Linked DNA regions of Lepisosteus oculatus. The protein of the gene in region 2 interacts with the protein of the main gene of each other region in a biochemical or structural test. Links are inferred from orthologs where the notes say so. Each region holds a gene or a part of one and is shown on either strand. Other genes may lie near its edges.

Region 1 (3,756 bases), on a different chromosome or scaffold from region 2:
ACAGAATATTGCTGCCGGCGCCATCTGTCAGCTGTCAACAGCTGCGTTTCCACGAGCTTTCAACTATTGACTAACCTCAAATCTATAAACCCGGGTGATGGTGGGGGTTTGCCGTCTAATCACCAGTTGTGTTAACACCAGTCTTAACTGATTACAGAAGAAGCACAGCCACAAGGTTTGTTCCCATTAGTTACATATAGTTAGAAATTTCATACTAACTGCATGTTTTGCACTGATGCACTTGTGTATTTTCATCCTCTTCATTGAATTTTCTTCTCTATATTCCTTCACACAGTTTTCCAAAAGACCTTTTTTAATGGTTTGCTCTAACTATTGAATTATCATGAATATTTAGGGTGCTGAAAACCTGTTTTCAGAGAATAGGATCAACCCATCCAAAAATTGGTCCCCCAGGTACTTCCTCCGCACTAATCTAGAGAGAGCAAGTGTGTTCAGCCCAGGGAGAGCTATAGAACAGAGCAAAGAAGAGCACTGAGGTGGATTTTCAGAATAGAGGAGGTACTGTAGGAGGGGACACTGCGTGTCAAAATGTGGCATGAAAAATTGTAGTGCAAAATGATAATTGGATCGTTTCCTTACAAACGTTTTTTTTGGAGATGATAATACCTGTTGTACGTGCATAATTCCATAAACGCAATACTGATGTTGGCATTCCATTGCTAATGGATTGGTAAAACGTGATTAATGTATTATTTTGAGAAGCAAAAGACTATTAACCATGAACTGAAGATCTGGATTACACAGTTTCTGTTTAGTTTTTTTTAGAAAATAGAGAAATGGAGTGATCTTACAGATCTTTGTGAAATTGTGAGTTATGTTTAATTTCTTGATCAGAAGATACCAGGGTGCCCTAAAATCAGATGGCATCAAGACGATGTCAGTCACTGCTGGGGTTAAAGTTGCCCGAATAATCCCTGGCGTTTTGTGAATTCAGAGTGCTGTGTGCAAGGAATGTCAAGTAGTTCTGCCTGATGGTCTAGTCTGCTGGCACTGGAACAAGGCTGCCTTACTCCACACGTTAACCACAGTGAGCCTTCTTGTGTGTTTTGGTTCTTTTTACTCGTGTTTTATGCTTAATCTGGTATTGCATTTACTTAATTTGTCCTCTTTTTGTCATCGTCAGAAGAAGAAAATAACATTTTATTGCTGGGACGATGGGTGATTTTTAAATCCTCGATCTTGTGTTCCTTGATCTTTAACTTAAATCCTCTTTAGACGCTGGAGCTGGGTTTCCCTCTCTTCTAAGACTTTAATTCTGAAGATAATCGTGCACTCTGGTGCTTTAGGAGAACCATGGCAATTTCACTGAGTTAAGTGAGCTAGATTCTTACAAAAGCTGGCTTTGTCTAATCTCGGAAAATATAAGACATTGAGACATTATAGGAGGATCCTTTAAAAATGTGGAATTGATAGCAAATGGAACTGATAACATACTAGTGTTGCACTATAGCCAGGTAGATATAAAAGCTTGTGTGCAAAATTCAAATGTAACATTAGGGCCGCCAGGAGGTCACCGGTGATTCTCCCATCCATAAGGCACCGTCTTCCACATCTCTCACTGTGAGAGAAAATATTTTCAAAATAATCATACCGAAAACGAGCATGATTATTCAGAATGCACTTACTACACTTGGGGCATCCTTCTGAAATGTAATTACCTGACGCATTCTGGCTGTGGCTATGATTACTGTGGATATACCGTGTCATGAAATAAAAGGCTTTAAGCGACTGGGTGACCTATTTAGGGCTCTAGACTCCTCACCTGGTGCAGACCACTATAGTTACATGACTTGTTACCTGCTCTGTGGATGGAAGGAAGATTTATGGTCAGTCTTGTATGTTTACTGTAGGTGATTATAAGACCTATATTATCTGTAACACCTATTCAAAATCCAAGTATTCAAGTATTCTCAAACGTCATTTAAATTATACGCGATGACACTACTATTCACACTTGCTTGTAAATAGCTTGCTTTGAACATAAACCTGGATGTCAGAAACCAGCTTTTGTTTTTGAAATAGTGCCATTACTGCCGGTGAAGAGTAGTGGTTGGGTTTCTGAACTTTGGACTAGAAAGCTGGTATAAATGAGTGTTGGAGACTGGTGCTGTTCCTGTGAGTGACCTGCTCAAACAGATTGCTACAGCAAACCAAGTTGTGGAAATGGCCAAATAAGTATATAAAAAGCAAAATATATTTACTTAACTTTTTTAAGCTACTTTGGATAAATTAAGGTCTCCCGTGTGTTTTTTTTCCCTTGGACCAGCTTGGCATGTTAGTATCCTGTGGGTTATCAGTCTTTATAGTTGGAGGAGTTTAGGAGTGACGCTCGGATCATAAAGGGTGGCTCGCTCATAATACAGCCCTGCCTGTGGGTTTGTTGGTGAGGGTATCCGGTGTGGAGTTCAGAGATCCCTTTTGAAGTGTGTGATGAGGGCCTGGGGGAATGACAGTGTTTAATGGCTGTGAAGGACATGGTGCCCTCACACGAGGGTATAAAGGCTTTGTCTGCACGAGAGGCCAGCTTGTCTCTCTCGGGTTGGGATGGAGAACTGGGCCAAAGCGAGGAGGAAGACCGCAGTACTTCGCATCATCTCTGACACCCATCCTGCAGGTGAGGCTTTTCCACAGGGGGCTCGAGGGGTGTGAGGTGGGTTCTTCTGCCACATCATGACTGTGCCTCCACTTTTCATAGAAGAGTGGGGTGGTGGTGGGGGGGAGATATAAAAATGGGAAATATATCTTTTTTTTTTCTTTGCTTAGTCACTGCAGGCTGAGACTTGTGTTGTGGAGTACCGTGGCCTGTCGTAATAATCACGACGTGAGAGTTTTCCAGTGTTTCAACTCGGAGTAAAGCTTAACAAAGCTTAAAAGTATGTAGCAACAGTGCTAGGTGTCCTTTCACACAGGAAACACAGGAACAAGACAGACATCACTGTAGTGCCAAAGACAGCCCCGCTTTTGAGCTCACTAGGTAACAAATCCCTGTTTCCAAGACATGTGTTGGGTAGAGTGGCTCCTATGCAACATTCCCTTCACCAGTCAACACCTACTGTAGGTCCGCATGTCACAAGTCTTTAAAATCCTTAGGGGGGACAGCTGACGGCACTAAGGTGGTGTACCTGCCTGTGGATTCCACTGCAAAGCTGGGAGCTGTTCGGAAATGAAAGAGCGCAGGGGCTTGTCAGTAGTGAGAGTAAACCATCTGGACTAGAGTTCTCAGCGACATCAGGGTTGAACAAATCCCACACAGTTCTCTGTGGGCTGCTGCATGTATGTGTGTATTTTTCTTCCTGTCACCTGAGCCCCACAACAAGGAAACTGTACAAGGACAAATAAAGCAAGTGGAACCATCCTGTAAGACATTAGTGTTTAGTCTCCAAGAAATAGATTTACAATTTTCAAAGGATACAGGAAGGTTTATTTTCCTCTGAATAATTTGTTGGATCTATTTTTTCTGGCCTCCAAAGAAATACAAGCTAATTTGTCACTTTCTTTTACAAAGAAATATAGATTGACACGAGTGGTATAAACGGGAGGCTTGAGTCCCTGAATTTATTTGTGAAAAGGGAAGCACAATTCAAAGCTCTCTGATATTCAGGAGAAAAATCAATACCACGCCAGGTGATTAGAAAGCAACTGAAGTTCAGACTCCCTGCTGCTCTTGTTGAGATTTAATGAGATGGAAAAATGTATGCTGGGTTTCTGAAGAGAAAATAGGTAAAATAATAAAAT
Region 2 (3,756 bases):
CCCAGGGGGTTTCTCGAAAAGAGTAGGGGTGTAACCACATCCTCCTGGCCAAAATTCCCAATTTCCCTTACCAATCATGGCCTCCTAAGTAATGGCTTCATTACTCTGCTCTCCTCCCCACTGATAGCTAATGTGTGGTGAGCGTTCTGGTGCACTATGGCTGCCGTTGCATAATCCAGGTGGATGCTGCACAATGGTGGAGGGGAGTCCCCATTACCTGTAAAGTGCTTTGAGTGGAGTGTCCAGAAAAGTGCTATATAAGTGTAAGCAATTATTGTTACTGTATACCTGTACATGGCTGGAGTGACAAATAAACTTGAATTTGAACTTGACAAGGGCCGGGGGGAATTTGGCCGGGACACCAGGGCGGTCACACTCCTAATTTTTCTGAGAAAGGCCCTGAAGTTTTTAACGATCACAGGGAATCACGGCCTCGTTTTAACGCCTCCTCTAAAGAACAGCAGAGATACTGTGCCATACTGTGGCTTTAGCACCCACAAAGACCCGGTGAGCACCCCCTACTGGTCCCACTAAAACCTCTCCCACCAGCAACCATAGCCTTCCCAGGAGGTCTCTTATCCAGGTACTGACCAGGCTCCATGTGCTTAGCTTCAGTGGGCTGTCAGTTGCACGATGATATAGCTACTAGAACTATAAAAACTAAACAGCCGTTTCGATGTAGAATAACACTGGTCGTGTGCATTTATCTAGGAATGTGGCAGGCGTTTGTTAAAGCTTAATTTAATATTTCATCTTTTATTAAAACGTAGCTTGTTCCTTTTTTTTAAGTTACGGATAACTTCCTGTTCACAGTATGAAGAGAGAACGAGAACACTCTTTCTTACTCGCCCTGAAGAGGGAAAATACAGACCTTCGTGATACGTCTACACTGGTAGCGCTTATGATACAGCTGTACCGTTTTGCTTTTAGTAATTGATATTTAATACTAGAGATACAATAATGACAGACATTTGCCTATAATTTATGACTACTATTGAGGGAATTTCTGCAAGGGGCACTCCAATCAAAAAGGTTTGAAAACCCCCATGCTACCCACTGTTCCTGAAAGCGCTTGATGTCACATGCGTAACTTCCGGCTCTTTAACATAAATTGTACGGAAAGCAAGCGAAAAAAGAGAAGGTACCCGGAGAGGAATCAAACTAAGGACGCGAAAGGGGACACACACTGTGACAGGTAAGTACCAACGTGTAGCAATTATGTTTATTGAGAACATGAAAATTTACAGTATTTAAATGCCTTATTTAGGGAAACGGTGCCAGATAGGACATAATTGTTTAAAGTACATCACCTTGTTCCTTTGCATTACAATCCGGATAGTACCAGGAATACGTTCGGAAATATACAGCGAAATGAGAATGCGCATTTTACTGAAATATAGCATAGAAATTTATAAAGATTTTGCGGTCGTCGGAGATGTCATGGACTTGGACACTTTCAGTTAGTGTTTCGAAACCATGAAGGGATCCCTGGTACTTTCGGTAACATGTTAGTTTCAGCCACTAGTTAAACATGATAAGAATAACACTGTCAAATTGAATATCTTACTTTTATAGCAGTAACTTAATTCTAGATATTTTCCCTATAATGAGCAAGAATGTTTCCTGCGTTTTAAATATAGATTTAGCTTGCTTACCGCTTACGAAACAGACTGCATACGAATTTCTCATGTATGAAAGGTGAGATTACTTTACCTACAGATGAGAAACATTAAGGGTTACTTTAATGTAAATACGAGAACAATATTAATACTAGAAGCTGAAGTGTATACTTTGGCTTTTGGTGTACTTACAGTGTATTGAATTTGGCGGTGTCGGTAATCCAGCTTTCAACACTTTCAAGCGCATGGTGCCGTTGGACATTTAAGATCTAGTTGGGTTTTCATTTAAAATATTAAAGAAAATTCTGCAATAGCACAAGATGTTTTATTAATAGGTTATTGGTGTTATGTCTTTAACAACAGAGACATCAGGGTTCTTAGCATTAGGGTCTTAAAATGCTATTGAATATTTAACCAGGTAAATCAATAGACAGACCTTTTTCTTATTTACTGTCTGGAAGTGCCAATTCATTATTTTGAATACCTTGCTCAATGGTACAACTGTGATGGGATTTTAACTTGCCATCTTCCAGTTAAAAATCCAGAGCCCCTAAACACTAAACTGAAGAACAACAGGAGTTTTAACTGAGGCATGTTTATCTAAATGCAATTTTATGTAGTGTTGTCTCTTTGTAGGAACAATAGATATACATAACATTATTTTAAGAAAAGTCTGCCCTCTACAAAATTTGGAGAGTTTTATAGGTTAAGTAGTTGAGCTGTTATGGCTCTGGTATTGGCTGTATCTAACTTTGCTTACAGTAAATTAAAAATGACCAGTGTGTGAGTTTATTATAGGTCTGTAATAATAGGTTAGAGTCTGTAAGACCTCTACCAATGTTTTTAGTTTTATTACAGTTTTAAGTTAATCTTATTGGAAGATACCAGATTAGTTAAAATTATGTTGCTCCTTTTCAAAATAGGTTTCATTTTGTGTCACTTATTATGAATTTGGTTTGTGTGACATTTTGCAGTGTGAAACTTGTTTTTAGAAGGATCAAATGTTTGTTTGTTTTTTGAAAAGGACACGTGTTACAGGTTCAAAGTGTGGGAACAAGGGCTGTGATTGATCGGGGTATGTTGTTGCTAAACAATTAACCTAGTGCTCATGCAACTACACAATATTGATTTGTATGCTTGGACACGTTTAAGTTCTTATTAAATTCTAACAATAATCTACATGTTAAAGCGAGAGTAAGGATTATTTTATCCAGTAATTTATTAGTTTAGATCTTAGGTTGCCAGGTGTGTTAAGAGACTGTAAGGGAGTGCCGCATTCCTGGGCTGTACTTTGTGTCCCTTACACTATTCATGATTTGCTTTGATGAACAATGTACTATCGGCTGGTTACTAACAAATCTAGCAGCTAGGTTCAGTACCCTTGTTTAAATCTTAGGTACACATCATTTCTCATCTAAGTCTCTTACACCAGAATTCCCTAGTCTTCATAAAATGCAGTGCCCACTCACAACACCTACCTCGTTGAAATTGCTGTTTGTGTATGTATTTTAGTGTAGTCAAGAATGTATTTCATAAATGACTATGATAATATTTTGAACAATTTTCAAAACTCTGTGAACAACAAAATCTACAAAGCTAGTTTGAGATGTGAGTAGTAGAATCCCTCTAGTACTCAGAGTGAAATGTCCAATTTAACTTAAGCAATTTGCTTTACCCCTGTTGCTACCTATTTCATTCTTGTCATGTGGTTAAGCATCCATAGTTTCCTTACAGCATTACAGCATGAAGATTTTTCATTGTGCCTGACCTGCATGTTCTTTGAGTGTGTCTTTTGCATGAGAATGTTAAATAATACAGCTGACTTTCAAAATGTTACAGTCCAGATCCTACAGAGTTTGGGGAATTTAGAAGACAGTTAATGGAGTAGAGAGCAAAATGTAAAGTGGCACACTTCAAAAACTAATGAAGGTGGCAGTTTGATGATTACTGTATATACTTAAGCAGGATAAACTATAACTGCAGTTACAGCAATTTATAGTACGACTGCATGGATAGACCTAAATTGATTTGAGAGGAGTACTTTAAAAAAAACTAATTCATGCTATAGTCAGTGAATAAAAATAGTTTACTTTAAAATGGATATAGGACTGATCTCAGGGAAACAAGATGTTGTTCT

Evidence for each region. The genes of interacting proteins can lie anywhere in the genome.
Region 1: the proteins of xiap (region 2) and septin-5-like form a complex in vitro, tested with the Homo sapiens proteins (4 studies listed by BioGRID, with this or other methods). The link is inferred for Lepisosteus oculatus from reciprocal best matches to the Homo sapiens genes XIAP and SEPTIN4.

The regions. Positions count from the first base shown.
Region 1 is NC_090721.1:6,134,488-6,138,243, forward strand, and holds the start of septin-5-like, read left to right. Parts: upstream 1-797; 5' UTR 798-2,467; coding exon 2,468-2,635; intron 2,636-3,756. UniProt on the Homo sapiens protein: Filament-forming cytoskeletal GTPase. Pro-apoptotic protein involved in LGR5-positive intestinal stem cell and Paneth cell expansion in the intestines, via its interaction with XIAP. May also play a role in the regulation of cell fate in the intestine.
Region 2 is NC_090703.1:41,706,387-41,710,142, forward strand, and holds the start of xiap (E3 ubiquitin-protein ligase XIAP), read left to right. Parts: upstream 1-897; 5' UTR 898-1,195; intron 1,196-3,756.